Stegostoma tigrinum: one gene and its partner. The protein of the gene in region 1 purifies or fractionates together with the protein of each later gene. This does not show direct contact. Links are inferred from orthologs where the notes say so. Each region holds a gene or a part of one and is shown on either strand. Other genes may lie near its edges.

Evidence for each region. The genes of interacting proteins can lie anywhere in the genome.
Region 2: the proteins of lats1 (region 1) and sav1 purify together in Homo sapiens (affinity purification with western blotting; 3 studies listed by BioGRID). This does not show direct contact. The link is inferred for Stegostoma tigrinum from reciprocal best matches to the Homo sapiens genes LATS1 and SAV1.

What each region holds. Positions count from the first base shown.
Region 1 is NC_081357.1:93,730,435-93,734,185, forward strand, and holds the start of lats1 (serine/threonine-protein kinase LATS1), read left to right. Parts: upstream 1-1,027; 5' UTR 1,028-1,111; intron 1,112-3,133; 5' UTR 3,134-3,265; coding exon 3,266-3,658; intron 3,659-3,751. UniProt on the Homo sapiens protein: Negative regulator of YAP1 in the Hippo signaling pathway that plays a pivotal role in organ size control and tumor suppression by restricting proliferation and promoting apoptosis.
Region 2 is NC_081363.1:44,308,814-44,312,564, forward strand, and holds the start of sav1 (protein salvador homolog 1), read right to left. Parts: upstream 2,189-3,751; 5' UTR 2,086-2,188; coding exon 1,992-2,085; intron 1-1,991. UniProt on the Homo sapiens protein: Regulator of STK3/MST2 and STK4/MST1 in the Hippo signaling pathway which plays a pivotal role in organ size control and tumor suppression by restricting proliferation and promoting apoptosis.

The DNA of each region.
Region 1 (3,751 bases):
TAAAGGTGACGAAACGTCTGAAAACGAACCTTCCAGCTCAGCGAGCAAACTCACATCCAGAGCCATGTTGTCTATACATAATCAGTCCTTCCCTTTCCAAATATATGTAAACCCTGTCCCTCGGGATTGCCTACCACTGATGTCAGGCTCACCAGTCCGTAACTCCCTGGCTTTTCCTTTGGTTTCATTTCTTCCCTGATTCCACTGATGGTGCAGCCTTCTCTTAGTGTTGCACTGAACTCAGACTCTTGAAATATTATTCTGGGATATGTATTATGCAGAACATAACCAGCCATGTTCAATGCTACAGATCAGTAGTTTTCAAACAATGTGTTGCGAGTACTGTCCAAGGGTGTCATGAATTTTTGTAAAATTGAAAATCAATTCAAACAGATTTTCTTTCACCTTAAACAATTCTGTATCCTACCAAAATGGCAACCTATAAACTAGTGAAAATTAATCATATCAAAAGTATGGTATCAGCTTCTTGATTCTAAGGCCTGAACCCCTTTAAACAGGCATAAGGGCAGAATTGAGAAGACGTGAAAAGCAGAATTGTTCTGCCTCATTGAAGTGTAACAGTGGCTGAAAGGGGTGTCAATTAGATCAGTTGGCTGGATGGCGATGCAGAGTAACATCAACGCAGTGGGTTCAATTTCCTCGCTGGCTGAGACTAGCACGAATGTCCCCACCTTCTCGACCTATCCCCTCTGGTACCCACAGCAGTCATCTCTGTCTAACGAGAGAACAGCTTTGTGATTCCTCTGGGACTGAGGAGATAGTAGAAACTGGAGGTGCTGGAGAATCTGAGATAACAAGGTGTAGTGCCGGATTCACACAGCAGGCCAAGCAGCATCAGAGAAGCAGGAAAGCTCATAATTCTTGCCTCGACCCTCTTTTTTTTCTGAAGAAGGGTCTATCTTGATTTCTGTTAGTCCTATGAACGTACACACCAAGCCGTTTGGTGGAGTTGGCGGCAGTGACTCCTCCTGGCCCGAGGGGGCGATAAACACCCACTCACGCAGACTGTGTCTATGATCTCGCGGGAGGAGATGAGCTGCGTTTCGGAGAGTCTAACGAGCGGCCATTGTGGGATTACGGTTTCTGTGGGGTAGGTAGATTGGGGATTGACTGCTGACCGGGGTGATAAAACAGGATGTTCTGTTTATTTCCTTATATCCCGCTGAGGGCCGTGGGGAGTGGGTCGCCGATCCTGGGTGGAGGTGCAATTGGTAGTGAGAAGGCAAGAAGATCCCGAGTCTAAAATGGCCGTGGGGCCTAAAGGAGAGATCGTGGGCAGGAAGAGTCCTGGACACCGAGCTCCGGTTGCAGGCCTAGCTTCCCGCGGCGGGCTCGGGGTTTGGGTCCGGTCTCTTATCGCAGGCCTCGTGCCTTAGAGTCGAGTCGGGTCGGGGGTGGGGGTGCTTGCTGACGGTCGTCGTCCTTTTGAATTATCGAATTAATCCCACTCTCCCGCTCATCTCTCAACACCGCAGTTTCTTCCCTCTTCAGTTTTTATTCACTTCCCTTTCGAAAGCTATGTACAGTTCATTTCCACTAATGTTGCATGCGGCAAATATTCCAGAGCATCATTTTTCGCTGTATAAACTTGCCCAATAATTTTTGCCTCTGATTCTTTTGTCGGTTACTTTAAGTCTTTGTCCTCTAGTTGTAGTTCCTCCCTGCCAGTGGAAACAGCTTATCCTTATTTAGTTTGAACCCTACTTAATTGTGAACATATCTGTTATATTTTCTTTACTTTCTCTGCTGTAGAAACAACAATGCAGCAGTTTTCTTAAGTAAGCTACTTTATTGATAGATGCATGAGGCTGACTCACTATTTAAGGTTGTGATATTAGCCTTGACCATTTCAAAAGATTTACAAGAAACAATAAACTTGTGTCAATTGAGCAATCATGTGGATGGTGCCCTATTTTGCTTTGTATCAGTTTGATGGTATATAGTTTGCACAAATAAACGTTTCAAAGTTGCAGACAGTAATCCAAAACTTCAATGCGATGAGTATGTGACATTCATAAAAGCCTTGTTTAAAGAAAAAATACTCCAATACAGTTCAAGATCCTAATTATCTTGTATTTTTTACTTTTTAAACGAATGTGTGAACAGACAGGGAATGGAGGATATGGACTATGTGCAGGTTGATGGGATTAATTTAGAATGCATCAAGGTTGGCCTAGAAATGGTGGGCCGAAGGGCCTTTTCCGTGCTGTTCTGTTTCTGTGTCAGACTGATACTGTGTGAAAAGTAAGTTGGCTTTCTGCTTCTGGGTGGAGTTATAGAGCAATGTGAAAGCTTTGTATTTCACGTTAATGTGATTTTTCATCTGATAGTTACCAAGTATCCATATGGTAAGTGATGATAAATATTGAGGATCAAATTAGCTGTTCAAAGTGGAGAAAAAATTTTATATTTCAAGGTCTGTTTCTGTGATAATCAAATTTTTAAGTCTGTTGTTTTACAATCACTGTATTTGCTGGAAAGGCATTGATGATGAAAATGTCCATATACATGATTTGTTTTGTCCCAGCTAGCTGAGCAGTCCAGATATGATCCTTGTCTTTTGTAATTATTCTGTGTGTTATTCTTTTAACATGCTACAGGTGATGAATTGTCTCTGTGGAATTGCTTATTTGCAGAGTAGTATGCTTCTGAAGCCTACAGATAAAGTTTGCCACAGATTGATCTTGCGGGGGAGGCCATAGATTTTGTTTAGCCTCTAGGTCTTTGTTTATTCTCTCCATTTAACCCAATGAATGTTTCTGCTGTCAGTTGATGTGAATTAACTGCTGCTGTTGTGTGGAAAAGTGCAGTGCTGGCACCCTCTGTCACCCTGTCACTGCATCCTCTGTCCCCACAGTATGACAGCACCAACAGACAGGTTATCCTTTGAGATATCTTAAAACGTGAGATACTTTAGGAGAGTGAATAAAAAGATGCTGGCAACTAGGAATCATTATGAATTTCTTTATAGAAGTGAGCTTTACTTTTGGTTTTGCATTAGTCTGAAGTTCAGTTAGTTTTGTAGACATACTTTTATGAGTGGAACATATTTGCATAATTTATGTTAAATGTTGATTTGTTTGACCTAATGCCTTTGTTTATTATGTTTCAGTTAACTGGATCTTGTAAATGTGCAGATGAGTAGAACAACAACGTCACAGCTGAGGGTCTTCAATATCTAACACAAAGCCAAGATCTCCTTTAACCTGCTAGAACTTCCGTAAATTACTGTAAACGTCTGTAAATGAGCCAAGATTGGTTAGTTTGTGCCGACAACTTCATGAAGAGAGGAGAGAAGCCTGATGGACATAGACAAATGAGGCCCAAAACATTCCCTGCCAGCAACTTTTCTGGGAGTAGCCGCCAGATGTTGCAGGAAATCAGAGAAAGTCTCAGGCATTTACCCAAACCATCAGGGGATGCTGGGAGCATTGATCAAAGTATGATGAAATTGGGTGCAGAAGATTCAAGACAACAAGGCCGGAATGCTCTTAAATTTGTCACTTACCAAAAAGCCTTGCAGGAGATCCGGAACTCCCTGTTGCCATTTTCAAATGAGTACAGTTCTTCAGTTCGTGGTTTCACGGATGTAAACAAACAGATGTTACAGGATTTAGTAAACGCAGGGTTTGATGAGGTGAGATCTATACAAGTGGAACGTTGTGAATTCCGTCAAAATAAAAATCAAAAGAACTGTGGATGCTGTGAATTCGGGAACAAAAACAAAATT
Region 2 (3,751 bases), on another chromosome or scaffold:
ACAGCTCCTGCTAGAAGCAAAATGAACCAGATGAACCTGCCGCAGGTTCCTTTAGGGCTGGGCCCCCTAAAAGATCAAAAGATATTCACTGCTGCTTGCTGTGAACAGCAACTCTGGCTGCTGTCCTCTTCCCTCATTTTTCCAAAAACAATACTAAAACAGTACTAAAAACAATACAAAGTACATCTGTGACTGTGCTGCACAATCACCCATCAGCCTCCTTAGATCACCTAGAACTTAGGGCATTGTTGACCACACCATCTTGCTCTAATGCAACTCCTTCACTATCCAGATAAGTGGGAATCATAAAATCAAACCTATAACTTTCCCCCTAAAAGATCAAAAGATATTCACTGCTGCTTGCTGTGAACAGCAACTCTGGCTGCTGTCCTCTTCCCTCATTTTTCCAATCAGCAAACTGACCAGGATCTAATCTAACATCTTTTCCATTCTGATCCCTAGGCTGACTTTGCAGACTCTCCCTTACAGTCTCTTTTCATGTCCTGCCTGAGTTCAACTTGCCCACACTCAGATCATCATGATTTCAAAATCCCTTTCCTGTTAAATTGTTGACGACCATTTTCCAGTACTTACTCACATGCTTCATTATATTATACACAGCTCCAATCTCACTTTCTTGCCACATTTCCAAACCTACAATTATTAAAACTCCACCTCAAAAAACCTACCCTTGGACAGTAAATTGAAACAAAGAACAATTGATTCAGAAACCAAACAAAAATAGAAATTGCTGGAGAAACACAGCAGGTCTGGCATCTGTGGAGAGAAAGCAGAATTAACACATTTACCCTTCAGAAATTTTACGGAAACTCAGCAGCCTTCCGATTTTCTTACCTTTAGACAGTGTTCACACAAGTTGACACTCCTGCTCTTTTTTCTTCTTCAATGCTTCTGCCAAAAATCATTAGCCAGCTTCTTTACAACACTATTTCTGAATCACCTGCTACAGTACTAAAAACAATACAAAGTACATCTGTGACTGTGCTGCACAATCACCCATCAGCCTCCTTAGATCACCTAGAACTTAGGGCATTGTTGACCACACCATCTTGCTCTAATGCAACTCCTTCACTATCCAGATAAGTGGGAATGCTTTTTACACTCTTTTGATTCACTATCTCACCACTTTGCAATCTCTCCATTGCCAGATGTCTAACATGCCATCACAACTCTAAACCCCAGACAAAGTGTAGAGCTGGATGAACACAGCAAGCCAAGCAGCATCTTAGGAGCACAAAAGCTTTTGTGCTCCTAAGATGCTGCTTGGCCTGCTGTGTTCATCCAGCTCTACACTTTGTCTCGGATTCTCCAGCGTGTGCAGTTCCTATTATCTCTGATATAACTCTAAACCCCACCTGGCCACTAATCCAGGGTGAACGAAATTGCTGGCAAATTTGGCACCTAAGTCCTGAACCGACTCTATATGCTCCCCATCAAAAACCAATTACTTCATTCTTCGTAACGTCACCCATCTATATTCCAGTCTCAAATTTACCACGGCTGAAACCCTCTTTCAGACTTGATTGGGGAGGGATTTCACGCCGTCAAAAAAAACTTTTTGGTTTGGAGACCAGCAGGTAAAAGCTAGTCGTCTGCTGAAAATAAAGTGCCCCGACTTTGCAACTAAAACAAAACTGTGAAAATTGTTAAAGAAAAAAAAGCTCGTCATAACTGTTGCATGAAACCTCAACGACAACATTAAATGCCATCAGAAGCTCCGCCCGCCAATCCATACCCAACATCCCTCTCCTCATTCATCGCTATCCTCAACTAGGAAATAGCAAGTCTCATTAATAATTATCACCACAACAGTAATGGACCAATGCTTTACTTAAAAGACAAACAAATGTAAGATGCATCAAAACATTAAGAGTGTGGAGCCCCCGTAAAGGCGGGCGGGATGGGGGGGCGGCGGTGGTGAACGGGGGCCGCTCAGGGAACTTCAAAACGGGCCCCGACCCAGAACTTACTCCTTAGCAGTGGAGATGTCTCCTTCTTCACGTACTTGCCCTGCACCTCCGGCGGTTTGGACGCTTCGTTTTTACTTTTCTTCCTCGATAACATCTCTTTAAAGAAGCACTCCGCCCCTCTAACATGGCGGGACCCACATACTAAGCGGAGCTCATCAGATCAGAGGCAGAAGCGAAATCCCAGCCGGCCGGCCTGCCCGCAGAATGCTGGGAAGCGGGAGGGGTGGGGGCAAGGCTGGGCATGCGCACTGCTCGACAAGGGGTTTTGCGCGAGGTTGTGTTGCGTTGGTGCTAAGCAGCTGAGTACCAGCTGATTGACTACAGCAGGCCCAGCAGCATCTTAGGAGCAGGAAAGCTGACGTTTCGGGCCTAGACCCTTCATCGGAAAGGCAATGGTCAATTCTTGTTAAACAAAAAGGATGAAAAGGTTATAGAATGTGAGGCTGGATGAACACAGCAGGCCCAGCAACATCTCAGGAGCACAAAAGCTGGGCCTGCTGTGTTCATCCAGCCTGACGTTTTATTATCTTGGATTCTCCAGCATCTGCAGTTCCCATTATCACAGGATGAAAAGGTTATAGGGTTTAGGCAGAAGTATGGGTTTGAATCAGATCGTTGAATGACAGAGACTCTCACTTTCTCTGTTTGTTAATATCCAGCTCCTAACCACTAGCACGATGCACTCATATCTGGTGTTATATTATTTGTAAAGAGCTGCGTTGTGAATACATATCCCAAGATGGTACATTTACTACTGCACTGCAGTCTACTGATGAACAGCAACAGACAACCAGCCAAATGCAGGTTATCCAAAGGTGCTGGGATGTGGGGCTGAGGGATGTGCTAAAAGTTGAGAAAAATCACCAAAGTGAGGCAGAAACTGGGCATTTCTTAAAATTGAAAAATACAAGCAGAAAATGTGTCTTCAAGGAAACAGAACAGCTCATTTGGGACTCTCATGCCCTGAAGTGGAAAAAAAAGCGTGATTGAAAAGGACAAGCTCAAGATATCGTAGGCTGCACTGCCAGAGCACATGAAGCCATCAGTAGAAAAATGATGATGCTGACTATCTATAAGGTGTGTCATTTAAGTCTGGTCTCCCTGTTACTGGGAGGATATTATTAAGCTGGAGATAGTTCAGAAGAGATTTGCCAAGATGTTGCCAGGTTGAGTTATAAAGAGAAGCTGGATAGACTGGGACTTTTTTCACTGGAGTGAAGGAGGTTGAGGGGTAACCTTATGGTGGTTCATAAAATTAATGAGGGTGTAGATAAGTTGAACGGCAGGTGTCTTTTCACTACAGTGTGGGATTTCAACACTAGAGAGTATATTTTTAAGGTGAGAAGAACAGCCCCCATGAGTAGCTATTCACCCTGCTAGACAGATCGTTATCCACTCCTTTGTCTGTCTCACTGATCTTCAACATTCTCCTAGCTGCCATCAGTTCTGAGGATGGATCACTCACCCGAAACATTAACTCTGATTTCTCTTCACACATGCTGCCAAACTTGCTGAGCTCTTCGAGCATTTTCTGTTTTTGATTTTAATTTAGAGCGTCCACAGTTCTTTCGGTTTTATTAAGCGGAATCATTATTTTATTCCAGTATCGGAAGAGGTCATGCCAGCACTGTCAGACACAAACAGAATATGCGTGGGGAAACTTAAAAAAGAAATTAAGCGAGCAAAAAGGGGGCCAAGTCAGTTGAACACTAGTGGTGGGAAAACTATCGGAAGTGATTCTGAGGGTATAATTAATCTGG